4 linked regions of the Drosophila melanogaster genome follow. The protein of the gene in region 2 purifies or fractionates together with the protein of the main gene of each other region. This does not show direct contact. Each region holds a gene or a part of one and is shown on either strand. Other genes may lie near its edges.

Evidence for each region.
Region 1: the proteins of Mis12 (region 2) and Spc25 purify together in Drosophila melanogaster (affinity purification with mass spectrometry; 2 studies listed by BioGRID). This does not show direct contact.
Region 3: the proteins of Mis12 (region 2) and Ndc80 purify together in Drosophila melanogaster (affinity purification with mass spectrometry; one large-scale study listed by BioGRID). This does not show direct contact.
Region 4: the proteins of Mis12 (region 2) and cana purify together in Drosophila melanogaster (affinity purification with mass spectrometry, with the first as the bait; one large-scale study listed by BioGRID). This does not show direct contact.

Annotation. Positions count from the first base shown.
Region 1 is NT_033777.3:12,959,921-12,963,768, forward strand, and holds Spc25 (Spc25), read left to right. Parts: upstream 1-1,824; 5' UTR 1,825-1,915; coding exon 1,916-2,042; intron 2,043-2,105; coding exon 2,106-2,322; intron 2,323-2,796; coding exon 2,797-3,121; 3' UTR 3,122-3,329; downstream 3,330-3,848. Other genes in the region: grsm (granny smith), read right to left, coding at 1-397. UniProt on the Drosophila melanogaster protein: Acts as a component of the essential kinetochore-associated Ndc80 complex, which is required for chromosome segregation and spindle checkpoint activity during meiosis and mitosis.
Region 2 is NT_037436.4:6,967,502-6,970,627, forward strand, and holds Mis12 (Mis12), read right to left. Parts: upstream 1,548-3,126; 5' UTR 1,434-1,547; coding exon 1,364-1,433; intron 1,301-1,363; coding exon 1,008-1,300; intron 896-1,007; coding exon 713-895; 3' UTR 534-712; downstream 1-533. Other genes in the region: CG10064 (uncharacterized protein), read right to left, coding at 1-306; CG9953 (uncharacterized protein), read left to right, coding at 2,331-3,118.
Region 3 is NC_004354.4:13,609,142-13,613,864, forward strand, and holds Ndc80 (Ndc80), read right to left. Parts: upstream 2,922-4,723; 5' UTR 2,825-2,921; coding exon 2,739-2,824; intron 2,677-2,738; coding exon 2,617-2,676; intron 2,555-2,616; coding exon 2,170-2,554; intron 2,102-2,169; coding exon 605-2,101; 3' UTR 530-604; downstream 1-529.
Region 4 is NT_033779.5:11,268,088-11,272,814, reverse strand, and holds the start of cana (CENP-ana), read right to left. Parts: upstream 3,036-4,727; 5' UTR 2,912-3,035; coding exon 2,773-2,911; intron 2,698-2,772; coding exon 2,575-2,697; intron 2,518-2,574; coding exon 2,171-2,517; intron 2,118-2,170; coding exon 1,282-2,117; intron 1,006-1,281; exon of another isoform or gene 524-1,005; intron 319-523; exon of another isoform or gene 197-318; intron 131-196; coding exon 1-130. Other genes in the region: cmet (CENP-meta), read left to right, coding at 3,969-4,107, 4,183-4,305, 4,363-4,709.

The sequences.
Region 1 (3,848 bases), on a different chromosome or scaffold from region 2:
AGAGTGGAAAAGCGCGAACCACCGCACAGGCGCTGGCGAATAGATTCTCTCGTTCGCAGACGAGCACCACGCTCTCCTCGGAAACGTTCAGCACATGGTTCTTTACCAGACGAGTGATGGCATGAGCCCGGGATGCCGTATTGTGTCGGGATGCCTTCAATGGCAGGGCAGCCACGGTGGCCACATCGAGATAGAGGGATACCTTATCGGTGGGCGCGGGATGCAGACAAGCGACGGCATTCAGGAAGGTCTCCTCGGTGACGCGCGGACTGAGTTTGCTCTCCAGATGACTGAACTTCAGTAGGTTTAGATGGCGCAGCTGGCCGATGATCAGGACCGGATGTGTCTGCGGATCACTGCAGCCTAGCGACTCGTTAAACTTTACGTCCGTGGCCATCTGTAAGAGAATGTGTGTGCGAATGAGTAAAGAATGGAATGGCTAGCCAAATCCCAGTGATAAGCCGCCGGTATTATCTTATCGGTGCTAATCTGGTGTTTAGCGCTCCAAGTGCCCCACTTGCTTATCAGTCGACGACTTTGCACCACAGGGGCGGTCAATGGATGCAGCCATCCATAAATCACGAGAGCCAAAACCGGCGAGATAAGCAGTGGCATTTGGGTTATGGGTAGGGCCATCTGGACAAACACAGGGGCGTTACTCATCGGTTGCAAGCGGATGCAACGCTGTAGGGGAAGTTTAAGAATAGCTGACCCATATTAGAATGGCTCAATTAAAGTAGCTCCATTGTGAAAAATACTGCAGTATAATTTTATAACTAAAATTCTAATAAAAAACAATCAATCAATAATTATGTTTACAACTAAAAAGCATTGGGTTCATAAAATGAAGCTTCAAAAGAAAAAAATTACCTCTAAAATATTTTAACTATAATAATCACCTAATATACATAAATATAAATTGTATTGCATTTATAATGAACAAATTAAGATAAATTGTAGTAGCAATATGAATTCTAATAATTTACATAACATTTTCTGAGTTTTAGCGAATATTAGAAAATCTTATAAAATCAAATAACGTTTTTTTTTACAAATTATTAATTTTAATATATTTTGGTACAATAACTTAACTAAGTAGTTAACATTTTCAACTTAAAGCCATCAATTTTCCAGCTTTACAGTCGCAAGGCAATAAAAACATAAACTACCGAAAAGATATCGTTCAGCACATATCTTTACGATGCTCCATAAACTCGCATGGGTTTTATAAGCACGATATCATTGTGCATAAAGCGATTTAAGTTTCTTAAAATCGCAAATGCCACATGACCTTGAATTCGGTGCAACAAGAACAACAAGTGGGTCGTTGACCGACTCGCAGCATTCGAAACCGAAAAGTGGATAAACATCTAATTTACCCATTTTCAATTGGATTTGACTGGACACTCGATATGTAGAAATATTATGCAAATTCTATATTCTCTATTTTTAGACTCTTTGTTCGCGATTTCTTCGTTTGCAAAGCGTTTTTTGCACATTTTCTGCCTTTTTATTCGCTCACCTTTTTGAAGCGGGCGCTGCTGTAGGTGCGAGCGAGATGGTTGCGTATTGCCTGGACGCAGAGCAGCAAACGCATGAAGTGCCTGCTTCAGAAATTGCACAAAAATTTGCCAAAAGTGCCGACGTTTTATTTTTATTTTATTTTGCTGCCAATTTGACTTGCAATTTTTTGCTTGCCGGCTAATAGAGATGTGACTTGCACGACGATAAGTCGATGTCAGCTATCGATAAGTGCAGAACCACTTTTTTCTTTCAGCCTGGCCACCCTGCTGGTGTCGTGGAAGTGTCATCCCTAATGAGAAGTACCACCACTAACTGGAAAGCAAAACAAGCGTCTGGAAAACGGCGCTTAGTTTTTAAAGATTTTAATTGATTGCAGTAAATTGAGTTTAAAATGGCAATTATTATGACTGAATCGAGTTACGAAAGGCGCGTAAAGGCTTTGTACGAAAAACAAATTCACATGGAAGCCCTCGAGGCGAAATTCATCAAAAAGGTCTTTAAATTCAACAGCAATTTGTGTGAGTTGGAATTTATCTCCATATATCTCCATTTCAATTGATATATTTCACTAAATATTTTAGTGGATGTCAAGGAAGCAGCTTCGCGCCATCAGCGGAAAGTGGGAAAGTTGCAAAAAGTGCTCATGGAGCGGCGGGAGGAGTTGGACAAGCGAGTTTCCTTCATAGAGGAACTTGATCGAGAACTGGAGGCCACCAAACTTCACAATTTGGCCATGAAAGATTGGTTTAAACAGCAGAAAATGCTGGCCAAACAGCGCAAAAACGAAATCATGGAAAGGTCAGGGATTAGGTCAAAGATAATCATATTAAGATTTTCTTAGCACGAATGGCTAGCTAATATTTTCCGGGCTCCAATGGGTTCGATCTTGTCCTTATTATACATAAAAATGACTATTCATATTGATTTTTAGTCCATCCAAAACTACTATTGGTACAAATATATGTATATGACAATAATGTATTGTCAACATTTATGGTCTTTACATGCGTACAAGTTGCAGTGAGAGACTAATCAAATACTTTATTTACTTTAACTAAATCTATTAGGAGCATCATCAAAGTCTATAAACTGCAAATAATAGATATAGTTGAGGTCGTGTTCCAAATAACTTATTTAGCTTACATACATAATTTATTTGCATAGCCTCACATGCGCTCTTATTTTTCAAACAAATCCGATTTTAATGCGGTCAGTTTTAAACTTAGTATACTATAATGAGAGCAATGTGTGTTTATTTGTTTTATTTTATAGCATTCACACGCTGTCGAAGACAACAAGAACCTATATAAATCAAGAAGCGCTGCCGGCACGTGTGAAGGGTGTCACTGTACTCCGTGGCGATAAACGCGACCAGTTGATACCCTTTGATCTGAAGGCGACCGATGTGGAAGGACTGGACTCACTGTGTCAGCATCTCGAGAGTCTAAATGTGGACGTGGCGCAGTGGCAGCAGCTTATCTCGCTGGCCATGGACATGGCTATGGAGTCACGTGCTCCCACTACTCCGCCCAAGGAAGCAGACAATTGCAAGTCTATAATCGAGATTGATCTCACATCGCCGATGAGCCACACCTGACTTCCGATTAACTGATTTACTTGGATTAGGGGGAAGACCCTTTTCCAATGGAGCACTTTATTTTAGCATTATAAATAGTTGGCTTCCAATAAAAGCTCAATTGGGAATTCATCTTAACGAATTAAGCATCTTATTATAGCAGTTTTTTAGCCATTTAAGTACTGCTTGTAATTGTTTAAGTGCAGTGTAAATTATACATATATCTCCCAAAATTTTTTTTTTTTTCTTTTTTCTGATATATCATCTTCACTGGAAGCTTAAAAATTTTTAGAGATATCGCCAAAGAAGAGATATCGCGAAAGGCTCCAGTTTAAGTAGTTCCAATTCAAACTTATTCAAATTAAAAACCAGTTATTGAATTTATTTTAAATCAAAAGTCTTCTTATCATATTTAACCAAATTTACAACTTTAGTGATAATTATATCATAAATTTGGTTTAATGAGTTCTCTATTACTATAAGGTTTTATATATATTTCAAATGTTTGGGTAATTTCCTTATAACTATATCAGAACAAGACCTGTTTTATTAAACACCTTTCTTTAAGATTTGTATGATTATCTGAGAGCTTTTGACATGGCGGCCGGTGTTAATCGAGAAATCTCGAAAGTCACAAGCGACTCAGAGTGCCACCGACTAACCGATCTATGAATAAACAGCGATCCATATAGATTGGCGCTGCTCAATTGCTATTGTCCGGCGAAAGTTAGAGCGACCTATCGTGGCT
Region 2 (3,126 bases):
AGCGATCTCCTTGCGCTGATCGTAATTCCAGATGATCACATAGCCGCGGAAGCCCATGTGATTGATCTGACCGGAGGCCATGTATTTGCCACTCTTGCTGAGATCCAGGCACGATATGGTGTTCGTGTGTCCGGCCACAAACTCCTGCGTATTCTTCTTGTAGTCGGCGATGCCGATTTTGTTGCCCAGCGCAAAGATGATGGATCCCGTGACCGGATGCTGGCGCACTCCATTCTCCACCTTGCCATTGATGCCGAAGATTGCGCGCGGCAGCAGCTGCCTGCAGACATCGTGCGAGTCTCCCATTTTTCCAGGCTTATAGCAAAATATACGATTCGAAATGTAACATATAAGGGGGTTTTTGTGTCTGTTCTGTGCTTGAAACTTTTTAACCGGCTTGTTTTCTGTTTGAAAACAAGGCAGTTGGAAAATTTAAACAGCGACCGTTGCTTGGTTGCCGCTGTTGTCAAAGGAACTAATATAATGCTAAGGTAAATTGGTTTAAAACTAGTAAGTAATCATCTAGGTGTTTCGGATTCATAATAATTTTAATTTAATTTAATTTTAAGTTTAAAACTAAGTTAACGACATAATAATAGGTAAAGTGGAATATAGAAGAGTCTTAGTGATTATAAATGACTCCAGGGTTAAAACTAGTTTCGAAAGAAGATATTGGAAATGTAGATTAAAAAACTTGATCCAGTTAGTTTATTTAATCAGTCTCCTTCTTTATCTGCAGGGGCACTTGATTCCAGAATTGCTTCAGCTTGGTGATGTTGAGGGAGGAGCAGCTTCGCTGCACGCGATCCTGCATTTCGATCTCCTTCTGGATGAGATCCTCCATGGCGGCGTACTTCTCCTCCTCGATCTTCAAATGCGCCAGCATGGCCATGTTCTGAAATTGATGTGATTTAGCATTATTAAAACATAAAATAAAGCATCCTTTTCCCCATTATAATGATTAAAATGAGGCATACAAGATAGTTTCCATTGGTTCTACAAGTTACCTCTCTGTATTTGGCCTTCAGCTCCTCCAACCTGGCTGTCTTCTGCTCCTCCTCTTCGCTGGTATACTGATTCTCGACGAACATGTGCTCCGGATGCAGCACATGCGGTGGAACGTGGAACACTTTGCTGTCCAGTTCCCTGAGGGCTTTTAGGCCCTTGGAGGCGGATGCCTGGAAACGACGCTCAACGGTCTCCTTCTCGGCTTCCAGCAATTCCGCTGTGGCGGGTGTCTTGATCTTGTCGATGATCTGACCAATACCCTTCTTAATTATGTCCTGCACAATATGTTCGCCTATTTAAAAGGAATTAATGGATAAAGGACGCTGATCCAGAGATATAAGGATGTAGCACTCACGCTCTGCAGACAACTGTGCCGCTGTGAAATTGAAGAACTTCTGATCGTAGGCTAGGCTATTGAAGTCCATTATGACAGTTAACAACAATATTTTTTTTAAATTATATTACAATTAAACTGGATAAAAACGTAAACAATCCAAATTGTCGCGCAATTAGTGTTACCGTTTTCAGAATACAAAGAGATGCTACCACAGCAACAGTGCTGCCATACTTAGCTACAAAATCTAGTTACTAAATTTGGCTACTTATAACTGACTATACAGATGAAAAATATAAAAACAACGCATACACATGCACAATTTCCTAAAATTTTTGACAAATACATTTATTAAGCTTTCGCATTAACGGCACAGTGAAACTCCACAATAATATTTACCTAATATATGGAATAATTCAAATAAACTATATGTTGTTTATTAAAGCTACCTAAAGCATTTGAAATTCAGGAAACTTCCATTAAATTAGTTCAGTGAGAATTTAAAATTACACGCAGATGGAAATTATCAAAGCATGCAAGAATGTATACTTTTCTTAATTACTTGACAAAAATTTTGCAAAACACGTTCACATTTACGGTGCTATTAAGCTCATCGATAATATCTAGCTAGGAAATAATATAAATAAATAAAAAGCTAAATTAAGTTTTGTAAAGTTACCAGAACACTTACAGCATACAGAAATCTTTCTCTGCTTAAAATTAAATTAATTCAATTAATGATTGAAATCAATAACTATGAATGCCCCTACTGTTTTAGTTTTGCTTTGCCGGCTTTGCGAATATAGATAATACAGCGAGAACTGAATAATCAGGAGAGTGCGACACACATAACGGTGCCTATATAAATAGAACACACCACTCTCCTTCAGTCGCTATTTACAGTTAGGCACTGTGCGAGGTTCCAACTAATTAAATACTTCAATTACTGGCAAATTCTACTTGACCCGAACAAACAAAGGAAGCAAATATGCTTTTCATTGGGGGCGTTTTGAGGCCCTTGGGAGTGGGTCTTCTGCTCCTGGGACTGCTTGCGCCCATTTCCGGAATGGGATTTCGACGCGGAAGGCTGACCAAGGGATTCCTCGGGGAGCCCAGCAAGATTCCAACCCTGCAAAGGAGCCTGCACTCGGAGGATCTGTGGTTCGAGCAGCGATTGGATCACTTCAAGTCGAGCGATAAGCGCACCTGGCAGCAGCGATACTTTGTGAATGCCGACTTCTATCGGAATGACAGCTCCGCACCCGTATTCCTGATGATCGGTGGCGAGGGCGAGGCGTCGGCCAAGTGGATGCGCGAAGGAGCCTGGGTGCACTATGCCGAGCACTTTGGAGCGCTGTGTCTGCAGTTGGAGCATCGTTTCTATGGCAAGAGCCATCCCACCGCTGATCTGTCCACCGAAAATCTGCACTATCTCAGCTCGGAGCAGGCTCTGGAGGACTTGGCCAGCTTTGTAACCGCCATGAAGGTTAAGTTCAATCTGGGCGATGGCCAGAAATGGATCGCTTTCGGTGGCTCCTATCCGGGATCGCTGGCCGCCTGGGCACGCGAGAAGTATCCCGAGCTCATCTACGGTTCAATTAGCTCCAGTGGTCCTCTGCTGGCTGAGGTTGACTTCAAGGAGTATTTCGAGGTGGTCAAAGCCTCTCTAGCTGCCTACAAGCCCGAATGCGTGGACGCCGTGACCCGCAGCTTTGCGCAAGTGGAGATTCTACTCAAGCACATGATTGGACAACGCAGCCTGGACGAGAAGTTCAAGTGAGTGG
Region 3 (4,723 bases), on a different chromosome or scaffold from region 2:
ATTGAAATAATACCTCATTTTCGTTTATTTTAAGCCCAAAAATGACAAAATATATATCTACGAATACGAAAAAAGCGCACACAAATGAAATATCCAAATTAATTAATTTAATAGCAATAAATGCAAACGTTTCCCTGCAACTTTTTTGTGGCACAAGTCAATCGCACGCTAAACTACACAAAATTGGCCAAATGATAATATTATTTAATATTTATAGATACCTACGCTTAAGTTACCCTTGCCGTATTTACCCACCACTCAGTGTATACATATGTATAACCATGTAAAGCTAAACCGTTCCAAGTGCAATTTGTAATCCCAAAAAAGGCAGCGGAGATCCGTAATGAAATCCGTAATACGTGTGGCAATAAAGAACTTAAGAAATCTGATATTATGGAGTATCATCCCCTCCTTTGTCCAGGAACCGCTGTGTTCAACTCAATTTACCTAATTCAAATGTAATCAAAAATAAATGCATTTCATAAAACATAAAACATTGAACATTGCAGACAGCTTCATTGTCTTTTTTAATTTGAAAACAAAGAATACTCTTTAATAAATTCCTTACAGATCAACTGGACTACAACAAAACATCCGGATCAAATCAATGATTCTTGATGGCATCTAGCACGGGCTGAAAGGATGGCAGCTTGGCGGAGTACACCTTTTGCTCCACCTCGTTCAGCTTGGCCTGAGTCGCGTTGACCTTTGATTCCACGGCGAGCAGCTGGTCCTCCGCTTTGGCCAGCTTCTGCTCGCATTTTTCCAGGCGATCTTGGCGGGCCTTGAGATCCTGCTCCTGAAACTGCTCAGCAGCGGTGAGTAGATCCTCGTTCCGTTGCTTGCTGGCTTCCAGCTTTTCCAGCGCCTGCTTCTCCCTCTTCTCCAACTCATCCAGACGGGCGGTCTGGTCGTACTGATCCTCGAGCAGCTGTTGCCTGTGCTGCGCCTGCATGTCGCGCTTGGTCCGATAACTGGCCTCCATTTTGGTCAGACGCTGTTTCTGCGCCCGCAACTGAGAGTCCATGGTGGCGATTTCGGTGTCTAACTCGATGGAATCAGACTTTACCTTGGCCACCTGCTTGTCCAACATCTGACGCCGATCGATATTCTGCTGGCGGTGCTGTTGCAGAAGTTTGCCCAGCAACTCCAGGCACTGCACCCTCTCCGAGATGTCCTCTTGATTGGGATTTAGTGGCAGAGTAAGGTCCGATTGCTGGCCAATGCCGCTCTTTATCAGGCCACAAATCACCGGGTCCATGCTCAGGTGGCGCACGTGCGAGTTAAAGACCTCAACGGAATCCAGTTGCTTTTGCTTGGCGCGCGACAGCATCACCTGCTGATGCAGCTCCAGCTCGGACACCTCCTTCACCTGGCGCTCATAAGCCTTGGAGTAGTTTTCCATATCGTCGCACTTCATTTGAAGCTCCTTTAGCTGCTGGGCGGAGAACTTCTGCCTGTTAACCGCCTGCTCCAGACGCTTTTCATACTTCATTTGCTGGCGGAGATTAGACTGTTTTTCTTCTACCTGGGCAGACAGCTGTTCGTATAACTTCAGTTTCTTGATCAGCTCCTCTTCACTGGCAGCTAGCTGTTGGGCAAGCTGATCGTGCTCTTTGGTAAGACGTTCCAGTTTGTTCAGTTTATTGTCTTCACTGGGATCATGCAACTTATTCTCCAGTTGCTGTAGTTTCGTCTTCAGATCGCCGATTAGCTGGTCTAAGGCTTTGCGATCGGGCAAATCACACTTCTTGCTGATCACCTGATCCCTGGTCTCCGCCTGCAGCTTGGCCTCCTCATTGGTAAGCTCCTGATCCCACAAGGCAATGCATTTGCTAGCCTCTTCGAAGAGCAGACCATTGACGTCTTCATCTAGCTGAATGGCGTGCGCCTGTGTGGTGGACATGATGGTCGTCGACTCGCAGTGCATGCTATTCAGATACGAGCTGGGCTGCTCCATGGTTTCCATAAACGGAAACTCCTCCTCCACCACATCCGACGAGGGCAGAGGCGGTAAAAAGTCCATGAGAAAGTCCAGCAGAACGATCACATGGCCGAATGAATGCTGTGTTGTTGGCGATACAAGCCATGATTTGTTCACCTGCAAGTCACAAGTGGATTTAAGAATTAAACGAACACTGGAAACCTAAGAGCATCCGAGTTGCTTACCTGATAAGGATACTGTAGCTTTTGCATTGCGCTGGTAATATCCTCGACATGGTTCTGGCCCACTGTCACGCGATTTCGCCAGATGTGGTGGAACATAAAGTTGAGAATGGAAACAAATTGCTTGATGGTCATGTGTCGCAAACCCCCGGGCCGACTGAATAGATCCGCAATAAGTCCAGTGGGCGCCTCGCTGTTCTGAATGCCATGTAGGTATTCCAGGATCTGCTGTGCCCTCTCCGCCACCCATTTCTTGTCGGAGTGTGGCGCAATGGCGCGCTCCGCAGTGGAGGGCACAAACCGGTGGCCTCGCTTGGGCGTCACGCCCATTTGACTGGCCCGATCGCGCTCCAAGTTCAGCGGCTGCGGCAGACGCGATGCGGACGGCCTATGCGGATTGGATTCAAACATTACTGGTTGTGCCTTCGATAATCAAATGGTTGTGCATACCTTCTGGGTGCCGCCTGGCTGGAGGACGGAGTGTGCGTGGCTGCGCTCCGCTTTGTTGCCCTGGAAAAGGATACGCATTTGCATCGTTGACAAGATTTGATCAGTTGGATTTCGATGCTCACCTGGTTTGCCGCTTATCGGCAGTGCCTCGCTCCTCCAGTACATCGCCACGGAACTCGCTGGTCCGCCGGGGCATCAGGTGCGACATCTTGGCGTTATTGAAACTACGTTGATTAAATTAAATGTTTACTCAGTTTGATTGGGAATCGCGCGTCGTTTAACGCCTGTTATCGGCAAATCGATAGTTTCCAGGGATGCAGTCGCGATTGACACCCTAGTGTTACTAAACCATCTGGCAGCACTGCCAAATAAAAAGTGCGCCATTTACTTAAAAATTCTGATTACTTTAGGATCATGCCACCAAAACGGAACAAAAAAGCAGAGGTACGATTGAAATACTACATTATTTCAATAGCTAAATGCATTTCCAAACGATTCTACAGGCGCCAATCGCTGAGCGGGATGCAGGCGAAGAGCTGGATCCCAATGCGCCGGTGCTCTACGTAGAGCACTGCCGATCCTGACGAGTCTTTCGTCGTCGAGCGGAGGAGCTGCACTCCGCTCTCCGGGAGCGTGGTCTCCAACAGCTTCAGCTCCAGCTGAATGCACTTGGAGCACCACGGCGAGGAGCCTTCGAGTTAAGTTTGAGCGCCGGCGGAATGGGAAAGCAGGAGCAGGTGGCACTTTGGTCGGGTCTAAAGCGGGGTCCACCACGTGCTCGCAAGTTTCCCACTGTGGAGGAGGTATACGATCGGATTGTAGGGATTCTAGGTGACCAGCAGGAGTCCAAGGAACAGATCAACACGCAGAAGTTATCTAAAATTGATTTACCGGGGTCCGAGGCTCTAGCATCGCCAAAGAAGTCGGAGTCCACAGAGGAAGCACAGGAAAACGAGGTAGGGAAGGCCCAATAAGTCCAGAAAAAATTAACTAAATATTGTTTTTATCAAAAACGAAGGCACCAACTTCAACTTCAACTTCGCGTAAATCCAAAAAGGAACAGAAATCCGAGGAAGAGCCAACTCAAGTCGATTCAAAGGAAGCGAAGCAATCCAAAGAGTTGGTCAAAACGAAGAGACAACCGAAAGCCCAAAAGAAGCAGGCAAAGGCATCCGAATCCCAAGAAGAAGTTGCCGAAGATAAGCCCCCTAGCAGCCAGAAACGGAAGCGGACCACCAGATCCTCCACAGACGAGGCTACTGCCGGTGCCAAGCGGAGGAGGTAGTTGTGCCCAAAACAAAGCGTTCAGCAATAGAGCCCTATGATCGATGATTGGCAAATCCTCTCGAGGAACCGATCGTTGAGAACCCCTTTGCCTTTGTTGATCGCTCAATTTTGGATCAAAAACTACATACATGAAAAATACTCGAGCATTGTTATTACAAAATATATTAAAACATCTTAGAAACCTATTTCCATTTTTGTTTTTTTTTTTCATTCTCTTGTGGTTCATTTTTGTCTGATTTTTTGCCTCTCATTCGTTAAAATTTTGTGGACTTTGATTTTTCTTCCAAAATGTACATGTTTTCCTTTTTTGATCTTATTTCAATTTTGTCCCTTCTTAGTTAGTTAAAATTTGTTTTCGTTTTTAGCTCAGCTTAATAATTATGATCCTAGAGAAAAAATTTTGGTTTTACGAAATTGTTTTTACTTTTAGCTTCTTCTAATGCTAGAGATACCCTACCACTTGCCTAAATAGATTACAATCTGAATTGTCTCTTTTTTAACTAAAATTTTGGTTAAATAAAAAAAATTGAATATAATATGTGGGGAGGGGTGGGGAGCTAGGTGAAATAGTATTAAGAACATGCAGCAACAGAAACCGAGAGATTGCGATTAGGTGGAGAGCCAGTCCAAAAGGTGGACTTGCCTTAAGTAGAGTCGCAAATACAATGCATGCAAGTATGTATATATATATATATGTATATAATGTCTGTACACCCATATATATAATGTACAATATAATGCAATGGTCTGGCGAACTGCTCTAAGCAAAACTTCGGAAACCAGATGTGAAATATAGTCGTGTATTGCAAAACTATACATA
Region 4 (4,727 bases), on a different chromosome or scaffold from region 2:
GTTCTCCATCTCCAGCCGCTCAATTGTCTCCTTTAGCCTCTTCACCTGCTCCTCGTACTTCTCGATCGTCTCCTTTGCTACCTGGTTGGATGCAGTAAGCGCAGAGATCTCGGTCTGCGGGGCATCGCAGCTGTAATTGATAGGAAAATTGAGGGATTTGAATGAATACGTAAATTCAGGAACTCCATAAATATACTTTAACTCTATTTATATTTCCAGTGCGCGCATGGCTACGAAAAGCTATTTACTCTGCCTAGCTAAATGGGTGCTGTCTGAGGGAATCCGGCGTTCACAAAAAACCACTAAAAATAGAAGCAGCTGGCGGCATTCAAGTTGAAGTTGCACCAGGCGAGATGTGTGGGTTACGCGAACATGGTCAAAGAAATAGAAGCGTTTTTAAAGATTCAAATCTAAACACCTTTCACAAATTGTTTATTTTCGCAAACGAAACAGAAGTGCAACTGCACTGTGCTATTATTTTGAGCGCAGATCTTTTACCCAAGTCACTCACTCACTCACTCACTTTTTCGGTTTCGGTTAGCCAATCTATATGCGTTACATCACAGTCTATAACGTTGGTGGATCGACAGTAGGGCCGACGTCATCGATCACCCAAGACGATCGGGGGAGGAGCGCGAGAGCGATGGGCGGAGGAAAAGCGTGCTGACTGACGGACAGCGGCAAATACAATGAGCATTGCGGAATTCCAGCGATCAAATTATCAAGAAGTTGGCCAGTTAACTACCTTGTCGATCGGCTGACTGCCTTATCGCGCTTCCAGGGCCACAAAGCGATCGTAGCTGGGGCGTCACATCGCATCCAGCCGAGTCTATTCGCAAAACTGGCTCACAACAGGCGTCGCCTCGCCTCTTTCCGCTCCCGGATTCTCCCCCAGAAATCTTTCCTTCTCGACGGCTATTTGCGTTGGCGTTTGTTTTGTTTTCGATTTCTTCGCGATCGGACTCCCAGTTGAGACAGCTTGCCCTCTTCGCTGCGACTGCTGCGAGAAAGCAAGAAGAGCGAGCGAAGACCGCACGAGAAGACAGCCGAGTAGAAGAGCACGCCGCACTCGTCTCCACCTCGTTTTTAGTTCAGGTGTCAGGTGAGTGCGCGCAAGAGGTGAGTTGGTATGTTCAAAATGCGCAAAATTGCTTACTTAAAGTACTTTTCAAAACGATATAGTCGCGTAGAATACTATGTAGTTTCGTTTGTTTAACTCATTTGAATCTTTTTATAACTCTAGATCTAAAAGTAAAATAAATAATTCATAAATTTACTTACTTCGGCACCGACTCCTGATACTTTTTTGACATCATTACTGAAGGAATTCTGCTAGCTGTCTCTCTTCCCAACTGTTTCGCCCGGCCAGGCATAGTGTCCATATTATCCGTTTGTAACCTTTTCTCCTTTAGGGTTTTACAAATGCCTTTGGCTTTGGGAGCAATCCCCCGCCGCTGAAACAAGGGTTTCGGCAGGTTAGTCAGCTTCGAAGGACGCGGTAGACGGGACTCCTCTGGCTCAGGCAATGCGAGAACAGGAGCGTCGCCTTCTGAGCCTGAGGCGGTTAAAGTCCAAGTACGACGACGCTTCTGGAGGCGATAGTCGTCAAGCGAGGCGCTGGAAACGATCTTCAACATGTCGCGCTTGATGCGACCTTCCAATTCCTGCAATACCAGCTGGCTCTCATTCTTGATCTTCTTCTTAGCAAGCTTATCCTTCAACATACTGATCCCGCGATCAAGTTGCCTCATCATCGTGGTTTCAGAGTCTATCTTGCAGACCTGCGGCTTGCAACGAATTTTTTTGGCACACGTGCCGAAGCTTATAGTGGATGACGACTCCTCCACGAACGATGGCGTAATTGTACAGATGATAGAGGTCAAAACATTTCCACCCAGCGAAGGCAGCATGATGCGCGGAAGTTTCGAATCGCGAAAGCTATTCGGCTTGCTATCTACACTCTCGGAGAGGCTCTTAACCAAGTTGCGAAAAATCATAAGGCTGGATGCGTGGTCCGCGGGGTCCACCTGTTCGGATCCAGCCAGATCCACCAGGCTCAGTACGCTCTGCTTTACGGTGTCGTTATCACTGTGGTCCGACTTTCGGGACTCAATGATCTGTAGAAATAATCTTGCATATTATATGATTAATACAAGAATCTAGCACTCACTATCCTGAAGATGGCGTGCGAACGACTGGACCGCTCGTTCATGTTGGTCTCGCCCACGACGCGCTCCTTGTTGCCCATGTAGAGCTGGCGCAGGAGGTCGTCCTCGCTGGTTACGATGGACTCCTTGCAGTTCACATTCACAATCCCATTGCCGGACTCATGGATCTTGAGGTCCTGATTCTTCTTGTTCAGCAGATCGTAGATCTTCTCGTTGTAGATCTCGATGTAGCCCACGCGCAGCAGAAAGTCCCGCTCCGTCTCACTGGAGATCTGTTGAAAGATCTCCTTGGCGGCTAGCACCATGACGCCCGGATTCTGTTCGTCGCCCATCATGGTGTACGTCTTGCCTGAAATGCATGCCCGGTTTTAGGTATACCGCCGCGTATATATAGCACAGTACCCACCCGACGACGTCTGGCCGTAGGCAAAAATAGTTCCGTTGGAGCCCTGCATGCAGGCGTGCACTATGTGCTTGGCCATCCGGTCGAACACCTCCTGGTTGCTGGCGCCCTCGTCGAACACATAGTCTGCCAAACGGAATGGAATGTAAATGAGATAAAGGTCTTGTAGATCAGGATACGCTCAACGCTCTAACCACTCACCGAAGACATAGGGCTCCGCATGGCTGTCCGCCAACTGGATGGAGCGGCCCTCCTTCACCTGCCAGAGTGAAGTGAGCCCGGGCTCGCAGGGACGCACCTTGATGCAGACCTGGATGGAGCTGGCGTTCTTCGTAGACATCTTTGCGACTTGTGGGAAACGTGTTTGACATGCACAATGAACAGACACAAACAGATTTTAACGTTTTATAAAAGCTAGTTTGATCGACATGTTAGTTTCTCTTTGTAAATTCGAACAAATACCGCTTCGGAAGCGAACCAGATCGAAATACGGAACCAGTAAATAGGCGCGAGCCAGTTCAATTTAAAAGTTTGAGGAGCTTTCGGCGAATATGAAAATATAATCCAATAGGCTTCGAACATAAAACTTTTTCCGAGCTTTTTCGTGATATATAATATAGATTATTATTATCTATATTTCCAAAATAGTAAAGACCGCTAAATTAAATGCTTACTTACAGACAGACAAAAGCTGAGGGGATTGTTTAATGCATACAGAAGAATACTGTCTGATATAAACATGAGATTTCATTGGAATAATAATCCCAGTTGTTCACTATTAAAAAAAATAGGAAAATTGAAAATTTGGAAAATATTATAGTGGTTATATTAGGGAGCTTAGTTATAATTTATTTCAAATATTTGTTTTGGAATCAAATACTTTCCACATTATATGTGTGCTATGAATAGAAGTTATGAATTAGTAGAAAAAATACGAACTTATATGAAATTTAAACCGTAGTTTTCGCATGTATTTAAGAGCTTGTTCTATTTTCTGTTTGACCTTAAAGTATTGAGTCATAGAACTTTGTTAGTTAGCATGCCCTACCAATAAGAACACAACGTCTTAGAATATATATATGCCGTAGCGACCCTTGATCAGGAATGTTAATGCAGCCCTGTGGGATAAGAACATAATGTGTTTCTGTTTTTATTTTTGCAGCCCTATTTGGAACTATGATAACAATCGATGAACCGATTTATCTATCGAGTCGTTAGCGCCACTCGAAGATATCGAAGCATATACATCCCTGATTTTGCAAAGCGGCATTTGTTCGAATTTAACGAGCAACAAAGATGTCGATCAATGTTTGTTTACTGTAAAACATTGAATTTTATGTTTGTTTATGAACTGCGTTCTGTTTATCATAAAGCATTGAGACCAAGAAGGCGCCAAGATGTCTGCGAAGAACGCCAGCTCCATCCAGGTCTGCATCAAGGTGCGTCCCTGCGAGCCCGGGCTCACTTCACTCTGGCAGGTGAAGGAGCGCCGCTCCATCCACTTGGCGGACAGCCATGCGGAGCCCTATGTCTTCGGTGAGTGGTTAGAGCGTTGAGCGTATCCTGATCCACAAGACCTTTATCTCATTTACATTCCATTCCGTTTGGCAGACTATGTGTTCGACGAGGGCGCCAGCAACCAGGAGGTGTTCGACCGGATGGCCAAGCACATAGTGCACGCCTGCATGCAGGGCTTCAACGGAACTATTTTTGCCTACGGCCAGACGTCGTCGGGTGGGTACTGTGCTATATATACGCGGCGGTATACCTAAAACCGGGCATGCATTTCAGGCAAGACGTACACCATGATGGGCGACGAACAGAATCCGGGCGTCATGGTGCTAGCCGCCAAGGAGATCTTTCAACAGATCTCCAGTGAGACGGAGCGGGACTTTCTGCTGCGCGTGGGCTACATCGAGATCTACAACGAGAAGATCTACGATCTGCTGAACAAGAAGAATCAGGACCTCAAGATCCATGAGTCCGGAAATGGGATTGTGAATGTGAACTGCGAGGAGTGCATCATAACCAGCGAGGTTGACCTCCTGCGCCTGCTATGCTTGGGCAATAAGGAGCGCACCGTGGGCGAGACGAACATGAACGAGCGGTCCAGCCGTTCGCATGCCATATTTAAGATAGTAAGTGCAGCCTGCTAT